Linked DNA regions of Medicago truncatula. Each later gene encodes a partner of the first gene's protein in a complex. Links are inferred from orthologs where the notes say so. Each region holds a gene or a part of one and is shown in the gene's direction. Other genes may lie near its edges. The genes, in order: mediator of RNA polymerase II transcription subunit 19a, mediator of RNA polymerase II transcription subunit 8, mediator of RNA polymerase II transcription subunit 31 and mediator of RNA polymerase II transcription subunit 21.

Evidence for each region.
Region 2: mediator of RNA polymerase II transcription subunit 19a (region 1) and mediator of RNA polymerase II transcription subunit 8 share a complex: the UniProt entries of both Arabidopsis thaliana proteins name them as parts of the mediator complex. The link is inferred for Medicago truncatula from reciprocal best matches to the Arabidopsis thaliana genes MED19A and MED8.
Region 3: mediator of RNA polymerase II transcription subunit 19a (region 1) and mediator of RNA polymerase II transcription subunit 31 share a complex: the UniProt entries of both Arabidopsis thaliana proteins name them as parts of the mediator complex. The link is inferred for Medicago truncatula from reciprocal best matches to the Arabidopsis thaliana genes MED19A and MED31.
Region 4: mediator of RNA polymerase II transcription subunit 19a (region 1) and mediator of RNA polymerase II transcription subunit 21 share a complex: the UniProt entries of both Arabidopsis thaliana proteins name them as parts of the mediator complex. The link is inferred for Medicago truncatula from reciprocal best matches to the Arabidopsis thaliana genes MED19A and MED21.

The regions. Positions count from the first base shown.
Region 1 is NC_053049.1:10,410,910-10,418,756, reverse strand, and holds the start of mediator of RNA polymerase II transcription subunit 19a, read left to right. Parts: upstream 1-4,826; 5' UTR 4,827-4,986; exon of another isoform or gene 4,987-5,044; intron 5,045-5,191; 5' UTR 5,192-5,311; intron 5,312-6,618; 5' UTR 6,619-6,663; coding exon 6,664-6,694; intron 6,695-7,126; coding exon 7,127-7,416; intron 7,417-7,565; coding exon 7,566-7,790; intron 7,791-7,847. UniProt on the Arabidopsis thaliana protein: Component of the Mediator complex, a coactivator involved in the regulated transcription of nearly all RNA polymerase II-dependent genes.
Region 2 is NC_053046.1:4,595,000-4,602,579, forward strand, and holds the start of mediator of RNA polymerase II transcription subunit 8, read left to right. Parts: upstream 1-4,563; 5' UTR 4,564-4,729; intron 4,730-5,300; 5' UTR 5,301-5,393; coding exon 5,394-5,697; intron 5,698-5,778; coding exon 5,779-5,903; intron 5,904-5,985; coding exon 5,986-6,169; intron 6,170-6,487; coding exon 6,488-6,601; intron 6,602-6,691; coding exon 6,692-6,756; intron 6,757-7,414; coding exon 7,415-7,580. UniProt on the Arabidopsis thaliana protein: Component of the Mediator complex, a coactivator involved in the regulated transcription of nearly all RNA polymerase II-dependent genes.
Region 3 is NC_053042.1:49,976,871-49,984,094, forward strand, and holds the start of mediator of RNA polymerase II transcription subunit 31, read left to right. Parts: upstream 1-4,204; 5' UTR 4,205-5,276; coding exon 5,277-5,337; intron 5,338-5,398; exon of another isoform or gene 5,399-5,418; coding exon 5,419-5,485; intron 5,486-5,561; exon of another isoform or gene 5,562-5,831; coding exon of another isoform or gene 5,832-5,863; intron 5,864-7,105; coding exon 7,106-7,203; intron 7,204-7,224. UniProt on the Arabidopsis thaliana protein: Component of the Mediator complex, a coactivator involved in the regulated transcription of nearly all RNA polymerase II-dependent genes.
Region 4 is NC_053048.1:13,820,604-13,828,238, forward strand, and holds the start of mediator of RNA polymerase II transcription subunit 21, read left to right. Parts: upstream 1-4,632; 5' UTR 4,633-4,782; exon of another isoform or gene 4,783-4,809; intron 4,810-5,022; 5' UTR 5,023-5,074; coding exon 5,075-5,281; intron 5,282-7,635. UniProt on the Arabidopsis thaliana protein: Component of the Mediator complex, a coactivator involved in the regulated transcription of nearly all RNA polymerase II-dependent genes.

The DNA.
Region 1 (7,847 bases):
TAAAAGATTTATTTCTAGATGTTTCACAGACATGTATGATGTGTTAGGCATTGGAAAAAATCCTCTCAGCACAAACTTTATTTCTCCCCCTCTCACTCTCTCTCTCTATATATGTGTGTGTGAGTGTGTGTACGCGCATGTATATTTGACACCTCAGTTCATTAAGTTACATCTTACTTTATTACATTTGTATCTCATACTAATGTAATACATCTTGATACACTATAACATTCATACTTGCTTAATATGATATTAAGTCTTTTATATAAATACTTCAAACATGAGTATTCCAATAGATTGTAATCCATATGTAAGGTAAACTCTTTGACCATAAGAGGTATTTCATTATCTCCGCCTTTACATATGTTCCCTTTTTAGAAGAAGAGTTCCTTCTATTACCGGATAAACCACGATTATCTTACTCTAACATTGCAATGTTTATTGTCAATCCCTCATATGCAAGTAATCCATGAAATTGTAACTCATGTCCTATGTATGTCCTTACACCACAAGCACCATCCCAATATTCTGCCCTTACACATGTCCATTCTTTAAAAGGAGAGTTCCCTTCATTTTTAGGAGAAATCATTTATACCTCATTATGTCTTGTATTATGTTATCCATTCATGTGATACACTTAAGTCATAAGTTTGTCTAACAAGTATATGATGATATTATTGGTATTAATGATTACATATCCTTAAAAGTTCATGAATTGACATAAATCAACATACTTTAAGTTAAAACATACTAATATAATCATATAACTAACAAGTACTGTTAGAAAAACCACTAAAAATGAGGTGAAAAAAATATGAAAAAGGTGTTCTAAGAAGCTTGGTGTCCATGTAAGTGTATGCTCTCAATTTTAAGGTGCCTATCTCCCACAATGCAACACCTAGCTCCCTCAATCAGACCTGCTAAAAACACGATTTTTCTGCATTACATTGAGTACTTTGGTCCTCTAGTAGGCCTATAACAATACTCAAACACTTAAAACCCTGATCTTAATATGAAAATACATTTAATCAAATTTAACATCTATATTTCTTATATAATACTCAATTGATTAACAAATATCAAGAATTCCATCTTTTTACAATACCTTTTTTTCCTTCATAAATTAGGTAAAAGGATTTTTTTTTTTATTAATAAAGTATCATTGATAGTCAATATACAACCATTTCTTAAGGAATTTAAACTCTACACGTTGAGATTACAAGCTAAAAGTCTAGGTTACCTACCCAAACCTTATATTAATACATCATCCATTATAAAACTCAACATGTAATTTTAATTAAAGGGAGTTTCATTTCTAGAACTCATCTACATATTTGAAGAGGGGATATATAAAGTACACATAACTTTTCCTAGATGCATACAAAATACACAAATGCCTAAGGTTGAGAAAACACCCAACCTAAAACACAAACTTTTAATGACATGTATAAATCAAAGATCCTAGATAATTCCTGATAGAGGTTTTGTGGGGAATTCCTATATTACATTTTATTCTTAGAAAAGGGATAAATATTTCTTATAAGTTATAACTTCATCTCCTTCTTCGAACTCCAACTTGATTTCACTTTCTTCTCTATCTTTATGAACCCATAACCATGATAAAAATAAGGGAAATGTTAACTTGTGCCCTCAAGGCACAAGTTAATGATTCAAATATATAAAAAAACATATTGGATTGTGTGTATTGCATTTAATATTTAACTTTTTAATCATTTAAATGCACAAAATCATAGAGAAAGTTTCTTCTTTTGGATTTCTTAACATGTGCCTTAAAGGCACAAGTTAACACTACCCTAAAAATAAATATTTTTAGTGCTCTTGAACCATGTTGTGGTGAGGAAATGATTTAGGTTTCATCTCTATCTTCCATTCTTCTCCTTTATTTCCTCTTAAATTTGCATGCACTACTTCCTACTCTCCTCCTCCATCTCATGGACTTCTTCTATGCATCCTTTTTCTCCTTATTTTCTTCTTTTAGTTCTTCTATTTTCTTTAAGGAGCTCAGCGAAAGACGGAATTAAAGAAATGTGTATGAGTGGTTCTGCTAAAAGGAAGGAAAGGGGGTTGACTTAGTCAACTAATAAGAAGTAAATCACATAGATCCAAGTTTGGGCTTAAGTTTTTAATAAAAATTTCTTTTTCCCATTTTACACATTTATTTTCTACCACCTCACAGTCCATAATTAATAGTAAATATTTATTTGCTATTCTAACATATGAATTTACAAAAGCACATTCAATCGTAGGAAAGCTTTAGCATAACTTAAGCGATGGATAGACTATTTATTTTTCATCACAATTTCAAATAATGTCAAATCAAATAATATATGAAATTTTAAACAATAGAATTTTCAATCACATGTGTATTTTGATGGGAAAATAAACTTGAAACCTTAACTAACTTTATTTATAATAACATTATATATATAATATATACATTAAAATTAAGATAAGATATACTATTTTTGAAATGAAATATAAGCAAAGTGATAAGATATACTTTTTTTATGTATCTTTTATCCCGGAGGAAGAATTGATTGTGGAGTACACAATACATATAATGAATTGGTTCATGTTTTGAATTTAAAGTGTGTATGATGCTAATATTGATATATCTCAAGACATATTAATAACCTTTAATTTAGCGCAACACATTTTTATATCTGTTTATCTAAAAAAAAAAAAACTTCACTCCTCTAATCATTGTTGATTGCAATGAAATTAGTTTGAGATTCAGTACACACTTAAATGAGCATTATTTCTTCTAACATACCAACAACACATCATCTAAAAAAGGCCCAAAAAGATATAGCATTGGCCCAATCCAATTTCATTTTAGATATACTAAAATGCGACTATTATATAGTTAATATAATATTCATATTTGTTTAGAACAAGTGTTTTGCCCAAATGACTATACAATGCGGATATGTCATGATGCAACTAGTAATCAAACACATTTTGACTTTCTTGCCCTAATTCGATCTAAGACACCAAAACCGAAGATTTCAATTCGGCGTTTTATTCTTCGTTTGCCTCACGGCGGCGAACACCAAAGAGACCATATCTTTGTTTTGAAGAAGTTTTCAATGAAAATGTACTCAAGAAAAAACATTTATCCATTGTACTGTCTGTCTTAACGACAAGCATTTTTAGGGTTTGAGATGAATAAATGCTAAATCAAATGTGATAGTCGTTACACACTGTGTTACCGCCTCATACGTCATCCACGCTATTGGTTTATCTCATAGTTCAATGGCAACAAGATTCTTGATGTTGATAGATATGAAGAAAACCAGAATAAAATCTCATCAACGTTGACAAATTATGGTGAGCTCCATTTCTCGAAAATCGACTCTTGATTTATGATAACAATAGGTGATGACCATGATATCTAGTTTCAAGGAATGTTGATTTTGTGAGCAAGATATGAAAAATAATGAATCTAATGATTAATATCAAAATTGATTCATTATTGATCATATTGATTTAATTTAGATTTGATTAGATGAATGCAAAATGGTATCAATTAATGTTGATTTAATTGTGCTACTCTCTTTAGTATTGCTTTGCGACTCTTGTATTTTTTCATCAATTTGATTTTGAACATAATCTTGTAGAAAAAAGTTTGTGAAAATTTAATACAAGATAAAAATTACATAACCTACCTTATTTTTTTATTTTGGATTACCAACGCTCCTTATTTAAGATATACAAATGTTAATAAGTTAGTAGTTATGTTAGTTTTTAAGATTTGAACCTTGGACATCATTCTTGTACTATTATATACGAGTTAACAATTTTTTTAACACCTTACTGTGTGCAAATGATCACGTTATAATATTTTATTATACTACGGATTTAAGTTATCCATAACATTTTTCTCAATGTGTTTTGAAGCTTGAATTAGTGACACAATTCTATCTTACTTGGTTATGTACCACTTCAACATGGTCACTGCTACTATTACTTTGATAATAGATTTGACTCCTCTAGTAGAATAAGTAGAGTACAATGTGATAAAATTAGGTGTTGTTATTTCAATAAATATGAGATGTGTATAATATCTACATTTGATTTAGTAATACATGTTAAATGTTAAATGAAGTTGCTCACTTTAGATGCTATTTTTTTTTCTACACTTTAGAGGAGTTAAAAAGACTGAACATGCTTGAATTAGTTTATTTGAGTTATGCACCGGTCTATACACTTGTGACGCTGTTTGTGAAAACTTATGAAAATAACTTATGACATGTTCATAAGTCGTTTTCGATTTATTTTCACAAGTTCTCCAAAATAGCTTGTAAGAATAACTTATAGCTTATACTAAACCAGTTTAATTTTATCTTCAAAAATAGAAATAAATTGTCCATAGCAATTTACACGATATATTTGAAGTATTTTACCTCATTCATAAACCACGGGCAATTGATATGACAAAAAATGGAGGCTAAACAACTTGTGCTTGAGACAAAAAGAAATTCTATTATGGTTTAGTGATGACAAAATTTTCGCTTGCCTACCAATTTGTCTAATCGCTAAAACAATCAAACGTAATACAACTGAAATTATTCTATCCCATTTTTTTACTATTTTTTAACCAATCAAATGCACCTTTATACTCCAATTTCCAATGTCTTTCTTTCTCTAGAAGTAAAAATCTTACATGAAAAAATAGTCCACCGTTACCCATTAGGGGTAAGTTGACACTTGATCCAATAGCATAGCAATATCAAAAGGGTAAAATTGAAAAATTGTAGAAAATGGAAGCTAAATATATATAAGAGGTGGCAACTAGGAACATAAAAGAATTTTGGGTTTTTGCTCTTTTTCATTCATAAGACTGAGAGAGAAAAAAAACAGAGAGAAAGAACACAACACAATCACGAGTACTACCGAAGGAACAAACACAAAGATTGTTCCAACACTGAAACCTCAACAAAGATCTTTCCTTTATTTGTTTTTGTGAGAACCCTTTAATCCCTTTCTTCTTCTTTCACTGTTTGGATCTGCAATTTTGCAGGTTTCATTCTTTTACACACTATCTCTTTCATGGGTCAATTACCGAATTTTCAATGAATACATAAAAAAGTTACTTTTTTATTGTTATTCTTGACTACCCTGTTGATGATTTTGGCTTATTTTGATGAAAGGTTTCAATTTTGTGCAGCTTTCGAAGAAATTTTTGTTGGGGTGGTTGAAGTTTTGCAATTGCTGGAGGTTTGTGTTTGTGCCAATTTGAAGAAGATTTGGTGGTTTTTGTGGGAATTGAGAATTATTCACTCTACAGGTGGGGTTTTCTTCACTGTTTTGATTGTTTTTGAAGTTGATTTTTTTTAGGGCGTAAGCATGTTTTGTTAATTGCGTTATTAATGTGATGAAGATTTTGTGGTTTTTTGTGGTCTATGTTTTGAGACTTAGATTTTTTTTGTTGAAAACCACTTTTTGAAAAGCTGTTAAATTTTTTTGAACGTTGGATTTGAATATTTAACAATCTTCAAAGGTGGAAATTGAAACAGGATGAGAAACAATTGATGGTTGAAACCATGAAAATTTCTGAAATAAGCACTTTATAACTATAACACATGATTGTGCTGTTTTTTCCCCCTTGGTTCCACCCCTTTTCTTTTCAAAACTGAACCAATCAAGTTCATGTCTTCCCTATTGACTATATGAAACTGAATGAAAAGTAATTACAATTTAGATCATCTAAAGGAGCCGTTGTATCCATGTGAAACTGAATGCTTCTCTTGATATAAATTGGTGCTGGTCATGTGTAGTTTGATGTTTTTAGTCTATCTATGCTTACACAAGCTGAACGTGTTTTTGTTATGCTAGTGTGTAGGCTTGTAACTGTATGAATTTAAGTTATCAACTGTATTATTTGGGTGATGATTCCATGTGCTATTTGGGATTGTCTAGAATTCTGAAGCACCAACACTTTTGATCAAAGGCGTGTCCGACATGGGACATGCAACACCGACACATGTGATTACATTCAATTAATTTAATTTTCAAATTATTACCGGTGCTGATGTGTCACTGTTGTGTCTGGTGTGCACGTTTGTTTCAGTGCTTCATTGGTCTAGAATGATTTTTATGGTCTATGGTTTTTTGGATATTTCAATTTCTTGAAATATGGAAAAAGAAAACGATGTGAATGAATTCTATGGTTCATTTTCTGTTTGCAGATTATTAGCTTTAGGCATGGATTAATATTTTCTGTTGGCCTTACTGGGAACACTTGTTTTTCCTAGTTGGTCTTAGATGGCGTTTTGCTTGAATGCTAGGGCTTCTTAAAATATTGATAGTCTCCTTCAAAGCTTTTAGCTGTACAACAATGGTTGCGGGTATAGAAATACTTTTTTCCAGTTAGTTTGTTTAAGTTTTGGGGTTTGTGGCACATGTTAAATGTCTTTTTGAAATGGCTTAGAAGCCTTCTTTACCGTAATTTAAGAGGGTAGCTTGAGAAAGAATGATTTATATAATTTTGTTGGTTTTCATGTGACAAATGATGATTTTTATATGGTATCATCTGTTTCATTATGTATTCCCTAATAATTTTGTAAACATTCTTTTCGTTCCAATAACCGACAGCTTTAATCAGGTTCTGTGGAAGATTGAACCATGAAAGATTGAATCATGGATCCTGAAGGAAAAAAGTTTGGAGGAGGTAAAAGTTTTTTATGATAGTGCTTTATGATAGTGCTTTATGTTGTATACCTAATTCTATAAAATCTTTATTTGATGTCTCTGTTTTGTATTATTGTATATACAAGTCCGGATTTCATATGTTTATGGCACTGACTGTGCTTGTTATCTAATTGACAATACTGGGTTAAATTTTTAATTATTTATTCGTGATTTTAGTTGTTTATTTGCCCTTTTGGCAGATTTGAAACTTTGTCAATTATCACCCGTTCATTTTTTGGGAATTGAATGGAAAACATTAAATTCTATTAGCATCTTTTGAAGATTTCCGTGCAATTATCCCTTTTTAAAGTTTTCTTGTGTATATTTTATATTTAGCTAATACTTACAGTAAGTCACTTACTCATCAAAGAAAAACTGTGTTTTTTGACATTCTGTGTTTTTGAATCCTCAGGACCGAGGGAGTTGACAGGTGCTGTGGATCTCATAAGTCATTTCAAATTAATACCGCACTATGAATTTTTCTGCAAGAGGCCGCTTCCTGTGTCAATCGCGGACACACACTACCTGCACAGTGTAGTAGGAGACACAGAAGTAAGAAAAGGAGATGGCATGCAATTGGATGAACTCATTCAGAATACATCTTTCTCAAGAGAGACAAGTGCTCGGATACAGCCTTTCGACTTGGATATACTCAAGGAGTCTTTCCAACTAAGGGAAACAGCTCCCATCGATTTGCCTGCTGTAAGAAATTTTTAGTGATTTTGATCATACTTAGTTTTTAATTCTTGCTGAAATCATTCAGCATGCTATCTTAGTTTTTGTTAACAAAGTTTGATGATGTGTTCTTTGTGGACTTGTATCTTGATTGTTCCTTGTATTTTCCCTAATAGGCGGAGAAAGGAATACCAACAATTGCAGGAAAATCAAAAAGTGAGAAAGACAAAGAGAAGAAGCATAAGAAGCACAAAGACAGGGATAAGGACAAGGACAGGGAGCATAAGAAGCACAAACATCGTCACAAGGACAGAAGCAAAGACAAAGACAAGGACAAAAAGAAAGACAAAAGCGGGCATCGTGATTCCAGTGCTGATCACTCAAAGAAACATCATGAAAAGGTTGAAGAAATTTAGTTCGCTGCATCTATATTCTTCAGATTAAGAGAAAACGTGTTC
Region 2 (7,580 bases), on another chromosome or scaffold:
ATCATAGCAACAATTACAGACTTAAGAGAAAAGTGAGATATTAAAAATATCATTGTCCAAGAATTAGAGTAGAATAGCTTAAGAAATAATTGAGATGATGAATGTAAATGACTGAAGCTAGCTCGGTATTTATAGTATTAATGTCGAGTAGGAATGATGATATGTTATTTGGAAATTGTTCCATATCAGAAACAGTGCACCACGTAAAACCAATGGCCACATTGCATGTGCAGAGAAACTGAAACAAATAAAAGGGAAGGATGCAAATTGGATATAACATGGAATACGAATGGGTACTTATAACAGGACTTAGGCAGGAACATACATAGGAGGGAATGATACTATGGTTGGCGGTTGAGAATTTGACGTAGGTTTTGTTATTGTTGCAACCTATTTTAGTAATTTACCAATCATAGCAGAAATAAATTCCTGTCCTGAATGCTTTACTTGTTTTTAGTTTGTTGACAGACCAGGGAGAATTCGAGAGTCGTCTAATTTTTACCTAAGCAACAACTTTTCGTGTTGGTTTAAAGATTTTCAGCCCAGATTTCTGATAATATAGCAGTAACGAGGAAAATCTTAGTGAAATAACAAAGATGTTGCCTTGTCAGTTATCATCTAGCAGTGACATATTTGTGTCAAAAAAGCCCCTTTATGTACAAGTGTTGTGCTAAGGATATTGTCTTCCTCAAATTTGTAGCAACATTTCTTCTGCTTGTGGATCTAATCTATCTCCAGATGAGAAAGCATGAACATAGGGTCACATGACCATGTGCATTCAGAGGATCCAACTCAAGCAGTCGTGTGGCTGCACGTTTAGCAACATCTGCATCTGTTTTACTCATACCACACACTCCAATCAATGCCCCCGAAGCAGTCGTGCGAATTGACAGATTTATTCTCAATATTGTAAAATGCTATTCAAAATGATCCTTCTGTTAGCTTCTATCATTAAAGATTATGACATGTTATGTTAACTAGATATGTCCCCACGTTGATCCAATACATGTTGTCAACTTATTAGGGACTAAATAGTTTACGAAGTAATTTATCAATAATTACAAATATGCATGAACTAATTATTGATAAATTAGTCCCAAAACTCCATATAAATTTCAATATAGACAAACTAGTTTATACTTCATAGTATGGTGACAATGATGTGAGATTCTATGTCATACAGTCTAAGGGTAATAATCAAGTGACTATTTTCACAAACATTTTAGGGTTAAATATGTTTTTGGTCCCTATAAATATGTCAAATTTTCGTTTTAGTCCCTCTAAAATTTTCCTTCAACTTTTAATCCCTATAAAGTTTTCAATCTTCACCTTTGGTCCCTCTTTTAAAGTAAACTCATATGTAGAATTCATATTATTTAATAAAATTTTCCAGAAAAATTCAAAATATTATAAGAATGACTCCAAAAAAAATTAATTTTTTTTTTAACAAAACATGAATTTAATATGAATTTTTATATTGTTTATGGTTAAAAATTCATATTTAATTTGTGTTTTGTTAAAAAATAGAATATTTGACACATTTCTGCACAATTTCATTACAAAATACAAAAATTAAATTAAAAATAGGGACCAAAAGTAGTGATTGAAAATTTTATAGGGACTAAAAGTTGAAGGAAAATTTTAGAGGGACTAAAACGAAAAATTGACATATTTATAGGGATCAAAAACATATTTAACCCAACATTTTACTATTACATGAATTTATTTGTTAGTTCACAAAAACCAAAGACTGTTTTAAGATATGCTTACAATTTTGGATGATAATTTACTACTCGTCTTAGATATAAGAAGAAAAAAAATCAAACAAAGTAGATATATATGGTTCAAATCTAACTTGTTTTGACTTTTTCTTCTTCTTATAGTATCAATCATGTCTTAAATATGTCATTCTTCATTGCACTTTGATCATATTTTGACATTAATTTCTACACTTTTTTGTATTTGACATTGGTCCATGCACTTTATAAAAAATTTACAATTGGTCTTTGTGTTAAGTCCAAGTTAAAAAAAGGCAAAGCTAACGTGTGTCATGTGAACCAATTATTACACGTCACATAACACACTAAAAGACAAAATTTTTAGAATTAAAATATTCCGAAGTTTTAGTATGAGTCTCTGCACTTTCAGTACTCTTTTATATTGGTCTTTTCACTTTCATATTGGTCCCTGAACCCTTTATTTATTTATTTAAATCTTTCAAATATATTATTATATTTGTTATTATTTTGTTCATTATTTTTATTGAGAATAATTATAAAAAATTCCCCTAAAAAGTTATAAAAAAAAAATCCTTCTTAAAAAACGAATAAGCTTTAATCGTATCACATCGTCACCTTTTTCTATAATTAACCATTATAGATTCTTTAGTAATGGCAAATCCCCATTAAAGTTTAAATCACCATTATTTATACAATATGATAGTGGCCAGTCGTATGACAAGTAGACAGACACAACAATACGATTGTACGAAAAAGAGACAAAATTAAACAATATGTCATGAGAATTCTTAGCTATTAAACATGTAAACTTGGAATAATAGTTGAATTATTATTAAATATTTTTTTAAATTTAATTTATTATTAAGAAATCATTTTTAGAGCAAATTACATTTTCCTCTTCCCATCATAGACGGGTAAGGATCTTATCCATTTATAAAAATAAATGAAATATACAATTTGGAGAGAGATAGAGATATAAAATATGTAGTGGATTATTCTTTACTACTTTTTTGTGTGTCTTTATCTCTTCAAATGGTAAAAATGAAGAGGATTTTAACTCCTTAAACATCCTCTAATCGAGTTAAGATCCTCTTCATTTATAAAAATAAATGGAGAATGCCATTTAAAAATAGATACACACATAAAAAGGTTGGGGGCCTTACTATTAAGCGAGTCCCACCATCATTAGTTTTTATTTTTATTTTTATTTTTATTTTTCATGTGTCATTGTCTCTCCAAATGGTACAAACCGAAAAAGACATAAATGGAGAGGATTTCACTCCCTCCAATCTTACATAAATATACATTACCCTCTCTTGAATGCTAAATATATACAAAAAAACAGGTTAGAATCCTCTCCATTTATGTGTTTCTCCATTTCTTCAATTTGGAGAGATAATACACATAAAATATTGAAAAAAGTAAAATATAATTAATGATGGTGGGACCCACTTAGTGGTAAGACCCACCATCTATTTTTTGTGGAGCAAATAGTCACTTTAGTCCCTGATTATGTAGCTCGCTGTCACATAAGTCCCTGACTCAAGATTAAATACAAATAAGTCCCTGACTCTGCACTTCCGTTATCACTTTAGTCCCTGACGTTAAAAAAATCTGTTAAGTGATGATGTGGCGCATATGAGGTGCACAGGGACCAAAGTGAAAGTAGAAAATGGTCACTTTGGTCCCTGAACCAAAAATCAATATGCCCAAATTGAAAATAAAAAATCCCTAAATCTTAAATTCTTAAATGTCATCTAATTATCTCTTTTGTTCAAAATCAATCTTTCATTAAACACCAACATACTGTTAGGTCCCTGACTGTGCATACTTACTATCAGTTAGGTCCCTGACAGTAAACACGAAATTTCACTAAAGTCCCTGGCTATTGGGACATTTTTGGCTTGAAAGCTGATCTTGAGGCAATGGTATGTTGGGCTAAAGTTTTGGAGTTTTTTAGTAGTGCCATAGTGTTGTGGTTCCGTTACCTCTTTCTCCCTTTAGTATATAATGACATCAGGATTACATATATAGATAAATGAATTATGAACGGTGTGTTTGATTATAATCCCCGTAAGTATTTTAAAGTCATAGCTTGATTTTTTTATGTGTCTTTAAACAACAGTATCCAATTTTTTGTGGAGAGATTTGAATAACTAATGCATATTAAGTTACATGAAAGAACTTATGCTTTAGTTGCTTTAGCTTCTCATGAAAGAAAAAAATTAAAGTGAGAAATTTGATAATAAACTTGGAAACATAAACAACTTATGTTAGATGTAGCACTAGTACCTACTATGTAGAACAAATTTCAAGTTAGAAATTATGTTAAAAAAAATCCAACATAAATGAATTATCATTTGAATATATCTTGAGCTCTTGATTACTGTGTATGCTGAGATCTACGAGGTAGAGATATGAATTATCACGTGAATATAACAATAATCAAGAGTAGTAGATGCTATTGGATTTGTTAATTCATTTGTCAGGGATCTAACTGATAGTAAGTATGCACAGTCAGGGACCTAACATTAAGTTATGTTTAATGGAAGATTAATTTTGAACAAAAGAGATAATTAGATGACATTTAGGGATTTGAGATTTAGGAATTTGATATTCAATTTGGGAATATTGATTTTTGGTTCATGGACTACGATGACCATTTTCTACTTTCACTTTGGTCCCTGTGACACCTCATATGCGCCACATCATCACTTAACAGATCTTTTTAACGTAAGGGATTAAGTGATAATGGAAGTGCAGAGTCATGACTTATTTGTATTTAATCCTGAGTCAGGGATCAAAGGGACAATTTGCTCATTTTTGTGTCTATCTCTCCGACTTGCAAAACCCAGAAAAAAAAACAGCAGGCTCGCGTTTCCTTTCCTTCATCTTTCCTTTCCTAACCACACACGCGTTTCCAGTGTCACGAACCCAACAACACCACCACGTCCACCGCCCACAACCGTTGCTCTCCTCTCCTCTTTCAGGTCAGTTTTGAAATTATTATACTGAAATTGAATCAGATATTGAAATTGAAATTGAATTAAGACAGTGATAGCAGAGCAGCACTGAAATTGAAATTGATTTTAACTTTTAGTGTTGCCTCACTGTCACTGATATTGGAAGCAAACCACTGTTTCATAAGAATCATCAATGCATTCAAAAAGTGATAACACATCATTATATGATAATGTGAAACCATATCAACCACAGTAAAATCAGAAGAAAAAAACAATTTCAATTGAGTTAATCAATCATCGAAGCTTCTGTTTTATTGCCACCTAAAAGGGGGAAAAAAAAGTAAATGTAAACCATTGTGATTTGTTTCGTTTGACTTGATTTATTGTTGATTGAAAACTGAAGGATTTGACATATCAAGTTGGATTATGTTGGGAAATTGTGTTACATTTTTCTGTTGCAAATTCTTTTTCAAACAAAGCGTTTTTATGGATTTTTTTTTTTTTGAGGAATAGGATAATCATGGAAACTGAAAATGTGGCTACTGCGAGTTGGTGCAGCTCCTCTGATGTGTGATTAACCTTTTATTCTATTCTGCAGTACTCTATATTTGTCTGTGGTCTAATTTTCGAGAGAGAACAAGAGTTGTTGCGTTGCGGGGATTGGGACGGACAAACAGAAAAGGGAAGAAGAATGGAGGGTGAGTTGGTGCAGCAGCCGCAGCCACAGCAGCAGGAGAGATTGAACCAGGCAGTGCAGCAGCAGCTAAACCTAGAACAAGTAAAGACACGTGCTATCAGCCTGTTCAAAGCTATATCAAGGATTCTCGAAGATTTTGATGCCTATGGTCGCACCAACACCAATCCCAAATGGCAAGATATTCTGGGTCAGTATTCCATGGTCAATCTCGAACTCTTCAACATCGTTGACGATATCAAGAAGGTCTCCAAGGCTTTCATAGTCTATCCCAAGAATGTCAATGCCGAAAATGCTACAAGTATGAACACATAATATCTCATATGTATTGTACACTTTTCATCCATTCACATTTCAAATCACCGTGACAATGTTTTATCAGTACTGCCTGTTATGCTCTCCACAAAACTACTCCCTGAAATGGAGACGGAGGACACCTTGAAGAGAGATCAATTGCTTCAGGGGATGCAGAACCTCCCAATTGCCACTCAAATTGACAAATTGAAGGTTATCTCCCCTTTCCACTTCACATCTACCTTTCCTCTTCCGTCTTCCCTCTTCCCTCTTCATTCTTCATTCCCTCTTGCAGGCTAGAATTGATATGATTGCCGCAGCCTGTGAAGGTGCCGAAAAAGTATTGGCTGACACTCGTAAAGCTTACTGCTTTGGAACTCGTCAGGGCCCTGCCATTGCCCCCACTCTCGACAAGGGTCAGGCTGCCAAAATTCAAGAACAGGAAAATCTACTCCGAGCTGCCGTCAATGTTGGCGAGGGTAATAATTTCACCTGCTTCCGCCTTGTACTATAATAAATATATTTATAGATATATCACAACCAATGGTCACTCTTGTTCTAAATACATATTAAGATCTAAAATTTCTTTCATATGGATAATTCTGCTAATGTACATTTGTCACTGTTTGCATTAGACTTGGTTTAGCTCATAAGGACTTCTTGAGTACAAGAAGGTGCTATTGGTTGGCTTGCCTTGAATAAAGTTTTTGTTTGTTGAATTTAAACTTTCATACCAATGACTCTCTAAATCTGTATCTTTATGGTGATTTTTTTGGATATAATGGAACTTCATGCAGGATTGCGGATACCTGGAGACCAGAGGCATATAACTGCTTCACTTCCTATGCATTTGGCAGACGCATTTACGGTCAACGAGAGTGCACAATCTTTTCCTGACGGGTCTAGCAATAGTAAATCACTCTTCTTAACTCTCCATCTCCAAAATATTTTGATTTTATAATTTGACTTCGAGTGGCATTTATATATACTATTACTTTCAGATGTGTATATGAAGAATACCCCATTGTCATCAAACAGTATGGGCGGCCAAAATTCGTTGTTACAGGTCTGGTCATTCACATTTCGATGAAGGTTTTATGAATGGATATTTGACTATCTTCTTCACTCTTGTTTTTTAATACTGTAAATAAAGGGTATATGTGAATTATGGTTACTTATGATTTTGGATTTTCTTGCTTCAAATGATTTGCTTTCTACCTTTTCATATCCGGTTTCGCGATTTTGAAATATTCTACGTCATAGTCTCATATTTTAATTTTATATTTGAAAACCCATCTGATCCTTATTAGATTGAACTTGAAGGACAATAAAATTTGATAAATTGCACAGCTACTTTAAGCGGCGCTGCATGGTTGATTCCTCATCTAACCCTATTTTTTTTCTATAGATGAGGGGCCACACATACACATAGGGAGGGGGAAGGGTGGAAAACCTGGGATCAAACCCAGGCACCCACATGAAACCTCCTCACAACCAACCACTAGACTGTAACAATGGGGACAGACTAATTTATTGGGAGAAGGCTCAAACTCTCACCTCATCTGGCCTATTTGATTTTTACCTCTCGTGCACTTCCCTCATTGCCGAACTTTTAAACCTATGGAATGAGAACTAATTACTTCATTTGGTGGATTGAAATTATGAAAAATATCGATTTTTCTAGTCGTAAGTTTTTTAATCTTCTCACATTATTGCTAATGTAGACATCGGGATCACAACTTTTGGGAAGATCAGCTGCATCTCCTTCTGCTGCAACCAGCGCCACTTCTTTTGACAATACAACAGCTTCACCAATTCCATATGCCAATTCACCTAGGTCTACTACAAATATGATGAATACGCCATCCCCTCAGCAGCAAACCCCACAAC
Region 3 (7,224 bases), on another chromosome or scaffold:
GTATAAATGGCAAAAAAAAAATTAGAAACCCAGAAAGTAGGGTTCTTTCATCACCATTCATGCCTCTTCTCTTCTCTCACATTCCAATCCATTCTCCTCTTCATCCTTCCCACTCGAATCTCTTCTGTCAAATCAAATCCAACATCACAAGAGGCTCATCTTTCAATTTAAGATCTTCCTCTTCTTTTTCATTGTTATTGCTTTCGCCACCGCAGTTAGGTTCTGCCGTCACAGGCCACCAAATTCCACACTACCAGTAACGAACATAAATGAAAAAATAACATACAGAAGGCCAAAATACAAGTCTGCATTACCCCAACACACACAAACGTTGTTTGAAAAAGGGTTTGGTTAAAGAGAGAAAAGGGAAAATTAGTGGCTATGGTGTGAATAGAGAAAGAAAGTGATTGTAATAATGAGAACGATGGTGAGAAAAACTCTATATTAACAATATATGTTATAGCCACTAATTGGGTTGTTTATTTCTCACCATCCTTCGTTGCTTATTGAAGAAAAACTAATATAGTGGGTTGTTAATTTTGCTTGCTGTTGATTGTAATGATAAGTGAATGCTGCTTATTGTTTAATCGAATTTCAATTCATTCTTCTTCGAAGAAAAAAAAATTGGGTTGTTTATTTTGATTTTCTGTAAATTGAATTGAAATTGGATTGGATTTTTTTTCTTTTTTCTTTTTTGCAAATTTGTTCAGAGATGAGGATAGGGAAGAAGCTAGATAGAATTATGAAGAAAGGAAAGAAAAATTGGTTGATGATGATTTATGAGTTTTTGGATTTTTTTTTTCTTTTTAAGAATGTTGATGAAGATGATGAAGAAGTTGAGGGGGAGAACGATGAAGAAAAGGAAAAAAAGTTAGGTGTTGCTGGTACATCATAAGATAAAATAGACATGTATAATCTAATGGTTCTTTTAAAAAATAAAGATCAAACGATTTAAATTAAAATATTTAATAGGATCTATGGTGGACCACTCTAAAAGTAATCCATCATAGACATTTGGGGTTAAACTTAACAGCCAAGGATTTATTTGACCGACGGAGATACAATTGAGGGACCAAAACCTGACTTTTATTAGTTATGGGACAAAAATCAAAACTTGAAATTAATTAAAGGACCAAATGACCTATTAAGCCTATATTTTGTCACTCTTTTTTAAAGAGTAAATAGTCAATTACCCCCATAAAATTGTAACTTTCGTCAAAACCCCCCTGAATTTTGCAAAATGTAAAAAACCCCCCTGAAATGGTCAAGCGTCTGTCAATTACCTCCTCCGTTAATTTCCTCCATCCAACATGCTGATGTGGCCGTTAACTGCCACGTGGCGCTGACACATGGTCAGGAAAGTCATGCCACGTCATAGGGGGGTAATTGACTATATTTTATTTTATTTTATTTTTGTTCGAAATTTTCCTTCATATATTATATAAAATAAAATATAGTCAATTACCCCCCTATGACGTGGCATGACTTTTTTGACCATGTGTCAGCGCCGCGTGGCAGTTAACGGCCACATCAGCATGTTGGATGGAGGAAGTTAACGAAGGGGGGTAATTGACAGACGCTTGACAATTTCAGGGGGGTTTTGACGAAAGTTATAATTTCAGGGGGGTAATTGACTTTTTACTCCTTTTTTAAAACTTGTCTCTTAAACTATTTATATCTCGTCTGTTACTGCCTCACTTTAAATCCATACACATCACTCTTTTTTCTAATACTACTCTCTTTGATATGTTGTACGTATCAAACGATCAATGTTTTACCGTTATTTTTATGTAACAATGAAATTTATTTACCTTATGTCTTTATGAATATTAAAAAATTAAATTTTAATATTCATTAATTAATGTAACAACACGTCTTTAGATCTTGTAAAAAAACACGTCGTTATATATATATATATATGCGCGCGTATGTAAAATAACATTTATTAAATTATATTTTTATAGGTTAAATAAACTACTACTATTTTTTTATTATTTGATAAAAATAAAATAAAATAATAATAATAATTATTTTTTTAAAGAAATTATTTATTTTTATTTTTATTATGTTACACTAATTTTGCAATAAAAAAAGTCTAGAGAATTGTTGTTCCCACATTACATATGGCTGTGCCACACGAGTAAATGACGTTTTTGTTCCTGCGGTAGTTAACTACCGAAGTTTAGAACCGGCTGCAGCTTCGGCAGTTAACTGCCGACGAAAAAACGAAAAAAAAAAAACCTCGGCACTTAAGTGCCGAAGAACTCATAATATTTTTTTTTTCAAGATTCTCTTAGACTTTAACCTCCACAATTGGAAATATTAAAAACTTACTATCTCATGATTTCATTCAAGATAAATATAAATAATGAAAACTTACTACTAACAATATATTATATAGAAAGAAATGTGTAATGCACTAATGCTACACATGCAATTATGTATAATTAAATATGAAAGATGTTAAGCCTATTGTGATTAGTAGAATTATTTATTTACTTTCACAAAAGCTAATGAAGAATTGCTCCTGTTGATAATATTGTCTTTGTCTAATATGGTCCACTGTATACTACTCCCTCCGATCTTATTTATAAGAGAAGGTTGACTTTTTAGATTTGAATAATATATGTATCTAGTCAATAAACCAAATACATAAATTATTTGATGTATCTAAAAAGTAAATTGTCTCTTGTAAATAGGACCAGAGGGAGTATATTGTATCAAAGTGGCAAGCACATTATTTCTGAAATATGTAAGAAACACTTCAGTGTAGTGTGGAATTGAAAGTCTAAGAGAATCTTGAAAAAAAAATATTATGAGTTCTTCGGCACTTAAGTGCCGATGTTTTTTTTTTTTTTTTTTCGTTTTTTCGTCGGCAGTTAACTGCCGAAGGACCTTCGGTAGTTAACTGCAGCCGGTTTCAAACTTCGGTAGTTAACTACCGCAGGGGCAAAAACGTCATTTACTCGTGTGGCACAACCTTATGTAATGTGGGAACAGCAATTCTCAAAAGTCTATACCCCTTTACCCCTTTCTATCTCGTACAAACTTAGAGTATATTTTTATAATTTTCTTTTTATTTTATTTTTTGGGCTTAATTGCACTTTTGGACTCCTATCTTTTCAAAAGTTGCGGTTATGGATCCATAACTAATTTAAATACAAATCAGCCCCCTATGTTTTGATTCTTTGGCAGTTTTGGACCCCAGTACATTGTTGATTCGGTCAACGCTGACGTGGCACCCTAAGTGAGGTGCCACGTGTCAATATTTTTTTTGTTTTTTTGCCTTGGGGGTCCAAAACTGCTAAAGAATCAAAACATAGGGGGTTGTTTTGTATTTAAATTAGTTAGGGGTCCATAACCGCAACTTTTGGAAAGATAGAGGTCCAAAAGTGCAATTAAGCCTATTTTTTTGTCATTTAACTTTATTCCACACACACCATATTTATTTCAAAGTTAATTTTCTCTCTCTTCACCAAAGAAATCTAGAAAACTCTCTCATTCTCAAACAAGCCCTAGCCGCCGCCGCCTCCTCCCTCCTTCAGTGTGTCTCCGGCAGTCGTTACATTGCTCCACCATCTTCATCCTCTCCTTTTCATCTGTAATTATACTCTATCAAATTTATTTCAACTCAAAGATGATTTTAAATTTCCCTACGACCATCTTTTCGGCTAGATCTTGACATCCACGCACAAGCTTTTGAAAATCCATCACCATAAAAAGAGTCCCCTCCATCTTCTCTACAAAACCCATTTAAAAAAATCAGGAACGGACAACCTTCGCCGGTGACCACCACGCCGGAGCTTGCAACCACCGCGCCGGGAAAGAGCTTACGTGTTTTCATCCCGATCTGGGTCAGAATTTTTACACAAACACTTAAACCTGGGCTGTTGTCTTCATCAAGGTCAAGTTCTTTACATATTTTGTTTCCATTACATGCAACAACAACAATACAAATATGAAATTGGATGTGATTTTGTTTTATTTCTAGAGATGTAAAAATTTCTTTTGTAGATGAATCTTTTTTAGTTCTGATGCTACTGATAAAAAAGTCTGTTTTTTTTTTATACTACAGATTGATAACAAAAATCTATAGAACAGCCTTTTTTTTTTTTTCTTCAGAATTTAGGATTTTTTTTTTACAGAAGAATAAAATTTTTATTTGTAAATCAAAAGAATTTTTTTTTTCACTTTCTGTTATTACTTGTTATGATTTAACAAAAAATTCACTTACATTTTCTTGTAATATGACTCAAATAATATTCATTTCTTTCTAAAAAATTCACTTTATGCTATTACTTTACTTGTTGTGGTTTAACTAAAAACATAGTTTTTTATTTATTTACAAAGCCGAAATTGTTATGCATAAAAAAATAAAACCAAACTGATACTAAACCATATTCTCAATTCTTTCACTCTGAGAATCAGCTGCTCATCCCTCTATCTCTTATTTATGGGCTCTTTTTTTTTTTTTTTTTTTTTTTTTCCTTCCCTTATTGCTCGTATGTGATCTGGAATCTTCCTGACAATGAAAGGATAAACATTAGATCAGCTGACAAGTTTGCAAGACAAACAACAAACAAACTAAGAAGGCACAATCATCAGCATTTTCTAATGAATATATTTTGTATATTTGCTTTTTTGTTGTTGATATAATTGTAAAATTGTGTTAGGACTGTTTTTGGATATGTATTCTTTCTTTAACTTCTCATCTTTATACATTTTCTTGTTTTGCCTCATATGTGATGTTGAAGATTCTATAGTTTGTTAAATATGTCATATGTAGCTCAACAATAAAATGAAGATAAAAAATTAAAGAAATAATGAGTTTAATGATCATTTTCATGGTTTTGTAAAGATGAAAAGAAATTATTTTACCTGTCTGTGTTCTTCCTTTTAAAAAGAATTTCCTGCAATGAGAGAAGAAAATGAAGCTAAAGAAATGAAAAGAAGAAAAAATGTAGATAAGAATAAGTCAGAAAAAAGAGGAAAGGAAAATGAAAGAATATGAGTATTGAAGGATAAATATAAAGTCTGTTTGAAATTTGAATTTTGAAATTGAGAATTTGGCTCCATTGATTGGATTCCGTGTCAACCAAAATCTGGCTTATAGTTGGCATGTAATGGAACTGACTTTTTGAAGAGCAAAATAAATCAAACTATAAGCTTTTTATAGTTAAATGACATCATAGTAGTTAAGTGAGGTCATTTAGTTAGAAAAAGTAATTTTAAGACAAAATTTACCCTTAAAAGTGATATGTGGCAGCCAATCATTGATGGGCAAAAATAAGTTTTCCACAACATCTTCCCTTCTTATATTAAGAGAGATATTCAAAGGTGATCTGGGTCATATAAAAGTTCCAAGCTCTAACCCTGCTAATTATATTTCATTAAATAGGTGTGTTTTTGTTCTTGTAGTTGAGGATTCTGTTTCCATGGCCTCTAAAACTGAAAGCGGGAGTCCAAGAGATACCCCACCATCACCGTAAGTATAATTGTAATCTTTTTTAATTTCAATGCCTTTTGCATGTCACATTATCATGGCCACATTTTTTTTTAAGGTTGTGTTTGATATTGATAGGCCCAATACAACACTAGTCTATCGTAGAAGGGGAGCAAAGGGGAAAAGTAAGCAAGGGGGTGGGTCTGCTATCTCAACCCAACCCGAGGACAATAAGGGGACAAATAGAGTAGGCCTCCAAGTTTATACAAGAAAGAAGAAAGACGTATCAAGGGGAACAACAAAAGTTGTTGTGGGAGAAAACACAGTTAGAGGAGGAATAACAGAAGGGACAAATGGCAACGGGAGAGTATAGTGTTAGAGATAGTGTATGGACCGGGCCTTGAGCCCGGCCTCTGTAAGGTAGGTGTTACAGCTGTCTTATGACAGCTGAATTTCTCTGTTGTTAATAGCTTCTGTTGGAAGCTTCTAGTTAGTTAGAGTCAGTAGCTTGTTCTACAGGCTTCAAGTTGGCTAGAGTTTGTTACACTATGTATCTGTAATAAATAAAAAAGTAGTATAATTGTTATCATTCAACCAATTATAATGAATTCTGATAACATTCTCTCATTTTCTTGTATTCTATCTTTCTAACATGGAGAGATATATGGAATCATTTCTATATAGTTAAAGGTGGGGGGTCAGAAAGTCAACATTTTAGAAAAATTGTTTGTGATGGTGAGGCTAAGCCTTTGTGAAGAATGTTTTCCCTTCCTCTGTGATTCCCGACTCATTAGTCATGATCAACCCTTGTGTGACAAGCCACAGCCGCTCTCACTGCAAGCATTAGAGTGTCCATCATTAGCCTCTTTTCCTGTCAATTACCTTCCTGTTTCGTCCATTTGTCTCTAAGGATTCCCTTCCTGTAGATTTCATACTCTCCCAGGATTGGGAGCTTTGATACAAATTTGATAAAACAGAGACCGGTAAAACCTAAAAAATTAATGGCGAGAGCGAAAACAGGAAAGTTGGAATGACGGGAAAAAAAAAAGTAGAAACGAGTGCCTACAAGTGCTGCACAATAGAGCTGATTCTTTATCGCTCCACTCTCCAATTGGCATATGCCCCTTCTGTCATTCCTCCAACTGTTTTATCCGTCTCTGATTTTTTAGTTTTGTTGTTCCACTTGATGCGTCTTTCATCCTTCTTGTACAAAACTTGGAGACTCGGTCTTTCTAGTCTCTTATTCTTCTCGGATTGGGTTTAGACAGCAGCTCATCCCTCTGATCAGTCTGCTCTTTTACTCTTTTTTATGATCGGTCTTTGTTATAATGGGCATATCTGGTAACAGTTTGAAAATTTAATTTATGGTGCAAAAGATAAGGAGAGGCACTTTATGCTGGAAAAGTTATTAGTTTAAGCCTACCAGGCCTGGTTGGTTTTTTAGAGGAACTCTCAAGCCACCCTGCATAAATTGGTTATAACCAATAGTGTTTGTGTTCTATTCAGCATGAAGTGTGTGCCCATTTCAAGGGCTTTCCGTATACTACAAATTTTAATTTGTTCTGTCTTAATCAATTTCTTTTTTCATTAATAGAAGTATGATTTTGGGATTTGTTGGACATATTGAGCTGTACTTAAGCGCTGATGGTTGTTTTTCTCTAGGCCAAAGAGTATATACAAGGATCCAGATGATGGGCGACAACGGTTTTTGCTGGAACTGGAATTTGTTCAATGCCTTGCAAATCCTACCTACATACACTGTATGATTTTCATTTTATCAA
Region 4 (7,635 bases), on another chromosome or scaffold:
CATATGCAATGGACCTACTTGTGTATATCTACATACAATTGACCATGCAATGCAACTCCATGTGACTCCACTTAAACAACATGTATGATTCAATAATTAACATACATTTAAATCATCATCAGTATTCATCAATCCAGCAATCCAATCAACCAAAACAATGCATAATTAAATATAACTATGCCCAAAACAACAACATCAATCATCACCATTCATACAACAACAATCAACACTCAGGAAACTGTGCAGCTCGCCTCGCGAGCACATCTGCTCGCCATGGCGAGTTCACAAAAACACTAGCTCGCCATGGCGAGTTCAAGGCGAACTCGAGGCGAGTGAAAATCAGGTGCTCTCGGGAAAAGTGCCATTTTCTCACTCAAATCCCAATTCTAAGTTCCCTATTCATCTTTTTAACCTAAAACTTCCACCATTCATCATTAATATCATCTAGGTACCTTAAACCATCCCCAAAACATCTTATAACAATTTTTCAAAAATCACGTTTTGATCTGGGCTACTCGCCATGGCGAGTTGGTCTGCTCGCGAGGCGAGCTATGAAGTTGCTCACTCGCCATGGCGAGCACAGCTACTCGCGAGGCGAGCGATGAACTTCTGTACGGGCAGAAAACTGGTTTTTCCCAAAAATCCCATTTTCCTCCCAATCACTCCCCAAATCAGTTTACAGATGAGAAATGAATGTTTCTATGCAACCAAAACCAAATTCTAACATCAGAACAGCAATATCTACCCCAAAAACCATAAATTCAATTAAAACCCAATTCCTCAATTTCACTCCAAAAACCTGTTAAACTCAAATCAGACTTTAAAATCTACACTATTGAAGTAAACCTCACCCTTACCTTAGTTCAGAATAAAAATGCACAGCAAAAATGGATTCCCTTGGTTCTTCTCCCTTGTTCCTGGTTTCACATAAACTGCTTCTGACATCCAATTCTCAACTTCCCTCTTACTTAACTCCCTAATATTTCCATTAGCTCCCCATTAATTTTAATAATTATTAAATAACTCTCCAAACTCCAAAATAACTAATATTTCATACTTATTATAATTATTATTAAATAAACTATATAATAAAATAATACACCACATAAAACACTCAAAAATCACATATATATAAATATATATATATATATATATATATATATATATATATATATATATATATACTCCGCATAAATCACCAAACATCATATATAAAAATATATATACTCCACATAATTCAAATTAATTAAATAAACAACTAGGGCGTTACAAATCACATCGCTCTACCCATCAGTGACTAAAGATCGACTCATCTGGAAAAAAGAAAATCATGGCGAATACTCTATTCGTAGTGCATACTGTTTTTTTGTTCAAGAATTACTTGAGACATCCCATTTCAAGGTACTAGGCTCTTGGAATATAATTTGGAAGTTCAAGATTCCTCCGAAGGTAAAAAAAATTATGTGGCAAATTTGTAGGAATTGCTTACCAACCCGTGTACGTCTAAAAGATAAAGGAGTCACATGCCCTATGAATTGTACATTGTGTACGGTGAGCAATGAGGATACACTTCATTTATTTTTTCAATTTTCAAGTAGCTTAAATGTTTGGAGTATGCTTCCTTTCTTTTCTTCTATTTCTATTTTGCTACAAGATATGGATAACAAGAATATTATCTTCAAAGTATTACATGATTTATCTAAGGATGATGCAACTTTATTTTGTTGTGTGTTGTGGACTATGTGGAAACAAAGAAACAACAGAGTGTGGGATGAGGTAATTGATGCTCCAGTTTATGTTGTTGAGAGAGAAAATGTTATGCTTCATGATTGGCAAGATGCATGTAGGATTTGTAATACATCTTGTGCACAGTTGCGACAAGAAGGAAATGTGAAATGGATCAAGCCAGTTAAAGGAAGATTTAAGTGCAATATTGATGCTTCTTTCTCCCAGCTTTCTAATAGAGTGGGAATAGAAGTTTGTATAAGAGATGAGGCAATTTTGTTTTGGCAAAAACTGAATGGTTTACTCGAGTCTGGGAGGTACATGTTGGCGAAGCTCTTGGACTGTTATCAGCTTTAGAATGGGTTCATCAGTTACACTTGGGACCTATCGATTTTGAGCTTGATGCTAAAAAAAGTTGTAGATAGTTTTTCCTCTGCACATCAGGATTTTACAGAATTTGGGATGATAATTCATAATTGTAAAACTATCTTTGAACAATACTATGTCAACTCTAGTGTTGAGTTTGTGAGGAGACAAGCAAATGAGGCAGCCCCTAGATTAGCTAAGGCGGCCATATCCTCAACTAGTTTCTAGATTTTGTTAGAAATACCAAATTATATTGAACACATTTTAATCAATGAAATGGTATAACCTCCTTTCATTTAAAAAAATAAAAGGCTTAATTGAACTGCCGATCCTTTAACGTATTTCTTTTATTCAATTTGGTCCTATAAGTCTTAACTTTCTCAAACACGTCCCTGAACTTATTTCTTTTATTAAATTTGATCAATTTTGATAATTTTAATCCTCTAAAAAAAGATATCGTTGGATTAGGGAGGTCTATAAGATTTTATAGTGTATCACCAACACCTAATTTATTTACTTTCTTCTTCTTCTTCCATCATCTTCATAAAATAAAATAGAAAAACCCAATTTTTTTTTTCAATATCATCTTTATCAATCTTCATACAAAACCTCAATTAAACCTCAACAAGTTCCAAATTTGACATAAGAAATAATGACCCGTATGCAAAAGCATGGATCTGTTCTGTTCCATAAAAGTAAATAAACTCAGCACAAGAAATTTTTGAAGGTTTAATTTCTATCATTTTCAGTAAATTGATCTACCACACGTGGACCCATTGGAGTAAGCTTTTGAAGAAATTTCTGTCATTTCAGAACCATGCAGTGTAGGTGGGAGTTACAGCTACAACTACTCCACCATCGCCACTGCCACCGTGCCGGAAACAAGAGAAGACGAAGTTACAAGTAAGCAAAGGATCAGAGAGGGAACTCATAACCGGAATCGGAATCAAAGCCACACCAATGCATCAAGGAATCGTTCTTACAAAGACGACGACCCAAATTACTGGCGTGGGTACTGGAGATTCCACGGGAGAAGAAAGTTGTGGTTGGTTCAGGGTCGGTTCGTTAGAGGGAGTTTCCCAACAAGGGATTTCTATTTTTTATTTTTTTTGTAGTGATTTGAAGAATCTTTTTGTTTTCTGTTTTGAATGAAATGGTTTTGAAATGATTCGACGGTGATTTGGGAATCTGTATGTGTGTGATTAGAGCTGTCAAAACGGGCCAGGCCGTATGGACTGGCCCGTTTAGCCCGATTAATTATAGGGCTTGGGCCTTAAATATTGAGTCCGAATTTTAATAGGGCTTTTTAGCCCGGCCCTAAAAAGCCCGCTATCCGTTAGGGCTAGCCCGAACGGGCCGAGGGTAGCCCGCTAGCCCGCATAACAAAAAAAATCCTATAAATTATATATATTTTTCAAATAATTCTTTACTTAGTCGATTATCAAGTAATAAATAAAAGTGAAAATTCAATGAATTAACACAAATATACATGTAATATAAAATTATATTCACTCGTTTCGTTATTTATAATTTTAAAGATCGAATATATAAATATCTATAACCATAACGTATCTAATTTATTTAAAATTGTTTTCCTCGCCGTTTTAGTTTACGACGTTTGTACGAAAATGTTTACAATTTATTTTGTTCTAGGCATTATTTAAACATATTAAAAATATTATTTATAAAAAAAAATTATAGGAGTATTTTATAGTACTTTTTGAAAAAAAAAATATATATAATTTTTAAAACGGGTCGGCCCGTTAATCCCGCGGCCCGTGTAGGGCCGGACTCGGGTAGTATATTTCAAGCCCGTTTTTCAACCGGGCTTTTTGGCCCGGCCCGATAAAGCCCGAAGCCCGTTAGGGCCGACCCTAAACGAGCCGGGCCGCCCGTTTTGACAACTCTATGTGTGATTTTGAATTTTGAAGGTTTAATTGTAATTCAATTTTATATAAAGCTCAAGTATCTAAAAAATTGTTGGATTTCTAAAAAAATTCAAAAACCCATTTGATGATAATGTTGATTTTGGGTATGAGATTTGATTTTGGTGTGTTACAGAAACGGTGTGACTTAGGGAAGCAATTATGTGGATTATGATGATAATGTTGGATTTGGGTGTGAGATTTGAAGTTGGAAGTTTGATTTAGGGATGGTTATGGTGGAGTGATTAATTTCGGGTTTGAGTTGATGAGGATGAAAGAGGGTGTTGATGATGATAGATGAAGTTGACAATGATGGTGGTGTAGTAATTAAATAGTAGGTTTAAATATTTTTTTTCTTCTGATTTTATTGATGAATATTGATGAAGGATGAATGAAGATGAAGAAGAAAGTAAATAAATTAGGTGTTACTGATACACTATAAAATCTGATAGACCTCCGTAATCCAACAATTTTTTTTTTTTAAGATATTAAAATTATCAAAATTGGAGCAAATTGAATAAAAGAAATAAGTTAAAGGATTGGCAGATCAATTATGCCAAAAAAAAAAAAAAAAACTAGTCGACCAACTCCAAATGGGTTTCTAGCTTACCCATTAACCCATGATCTAAGACTGACCCATCAACCCAATTAATAATAGGTAATACTGGTGCGATTAAGAAACGAAAAGAACAAAACGAGAGAAACACTCTCGAAGAAGAGAGAAAAAATTGCGCCATTGTGGGTGGGATTACAAGTACAACTGCTGGTGAGTGAGGGAGTCAATGGCTTCGTTGTAATCAAAACTTCATCTTTGATTTCATCTCCTTTTTGTGATTAAGTTTTGCATTTGATTCTGTTGTGTTTGTTTTTGGGTTTTCACTATATTGCTCAACCAATCGTAATAGTTTAGATTTTATAATGTATGCCAAGTGTTTGATAAATTGTTTATATATCAATTTGTTCGTTTTCAAATTCAAATTTCTACTTTCTGTTCCTTATTTTGCAGTTGACAACTAGAATTTTATTGAGTCAATTTCCACCACAAAGTTGTTCTTGTAATGGATATAATCTCTCAGCTACAAGAACAAGTTAATTTGATTGCAAACTTAGCTTTAAATACCGTCGGAACATTGCAAAGGGATGCTCCTCCTAACCGCCTCTCGCCAAATTACCCCGAACCACCTCCACATCCTACGGAGGACGGGGCAAATTTTTCTGAAGAACCGAAGCTCATGGGTGCTTCTTTGGTCAAGGCTGCTAAGCAGGTATGTTGCATTTTACAAAGTTTCGTAGAAGCTTTAAATATGGTTATGTTGGACTGTAGAAATTGTGAGTAATCTTTTGGATATTATTTTAAATGTAATAAGAGTTGAATCACTAAACTAATTAAATGGACTATGCTATTCCTAACGGGTAAGATTAACTGGCTGAATATAATCTGTAATAATAATTACAAAATATACGATCATATTTACAACAAGTGTCATACATTTTAAACAATTCTGCTCAAATTTGATGGAGTATCAATGCTTGGCGTGTGTTTGTCAATAGCGGCCGCTACAGCTGATATAGCTGTGGGGAGCGGAAATTTTGATGCCGCCGCTCCCAGCCGCGCTCGAGTGGTTCAGATGGGTGAGGCGGCCGCTTTGACCGAGTTATCCCAGCGCTGATCCACTGTGATATTGTCTGTTCCCACCGCATCACCCATGTAAACGTGCTACGTTGCTGTCATGGATCGATTTTTAAGTAAAAATCAGTTTTTAAAACGCGACAAAGAGGAATAACTTAGATCAGGGAAGATAAGGGAAGACTAAACACAGAGTAGTAGGGGAAGATATTCAGATAACCCTTTATCACTGGTTTAGAAGGAGTGAAGAAAAAGAGTAGGAGAGGAAGAAGGCATGAGGGCATTGCTCTTTACACTTTAAAAATTACTGTCCCACACCAGAAAATGACTCAAATGCCCCCAACGGCAGTTAACTGTTCGCTTTTTTGTGGCGGAAGTTAACTGCCGTTCCACAACCATAATTACATATACATTAAAAAAGGTAAAAAAACTACGGCACTTGAGTGTCGTGGAGAATGAAATTTGATTATTGTAATTGGGCCTCTCGTGGAGTATATTATTTCAATAAATATAATTAGACTTTTCACCCGTGCGGCATCAAAACATTACCTGCACTTTTTATTAAAAAATATAGGTGCGATAGATCATAAGGTCCATTAAAAGAACTCATGTTATATGTATGTATGTTAATTTGTTTAGTAAATGTTAGCTTTTACCTGTCACTATGTTTTGTATGAAATGAGCATATGTGACTCCGAAACTTAGATTGCAATTTGAGATATAATGCATAATTGGAATATAAAGGATTATAACCATGTATGTGTCAACATAGTTAGATTAAAAAGCTGCCTATTAATACATAATTGTAATATAAAGGATAACACCAATGTATCTGTGAAACTGGTTAGATTATAAACCCGTCAATTAATTGTCCAAATACTAATATACATATAAATTGGTCTAAAGTGTATGCGTTTTCAGCAGATAAAAACATATGTCATGGAATGGCAGAACATACTCTCCATATACGTAAACCATAAATAAAATCAAACACATAATAGCTTGCTACAACGACTAATTAAAAATCTTTTCCAATTGAAATTATTTTTGTTACCTAACAGAACCATATTTTGTTCCTAGGCCATGTTGTTACAATCACTTTATTTACAATAAAAGTACTAAACATCCTTCTAGCACACAACACAGCATTTTGGTGATGACTAACAACGATCAACATAAGATGAATAACATATACATCGTCCCACAACAGTTTGAAAGGAAACATAGGAGACAAATTGGCATCCTCATCAATCCTATTAACGACAAACTTCATGGTTGGGATGAAAGTTGGATATCGAATCGATTTACCAAACCTATCCTTAATCCTTATCTTAAACTTTCCATTCCCAACCAAAACAACCGTAACCCAGGCACCAAGTGAAACATTGTAAAAGTCATGCAGTGCGCGCCATCCCTTTGTCAGGAAAATGCCGCCATTATTCCTCTGCACCAAAACTTCTAACTCATTATAGTTGGGATTCACTAACGTCGCGGCGTAGCGACCGATCTGGTCCCCAAAGTCATGTCCAAACATGGTTGACAGCATGACAACACCCTGCAAGCACGAAACCAAATCAAAATAGCATCAATGAATATACCATTGATATCACAAAACAGAAACAAAACTTAAAATAGTTTAATCAACCCACATGATCAACATCAAACTCTATGATTTAAGTCCTATAAATGTCTTTACCAGTAAGTGTTCTTCATTAGCTAATTTAGTTACTGACATTCATGTAGTCAGCCTCTTCTTAAAAGCTGGAATTAAATGTATAAAATTAATAAAATTAGATTTCTGCTAAAGTTAAAGGTCTAAAATATAGCAGATGAAAAGAATTGGGCATATGTACCTTTCTATTATGCATAGCTATGAATTGTTGGATGACAGCAGAGTCATCAGTAGTCCTTTTCACAGAAAAGCAATGCCAATTATTTATTATATTACCATCACCAACTTCAACCTTGAACGACCATTGCTTATCTAAGAAT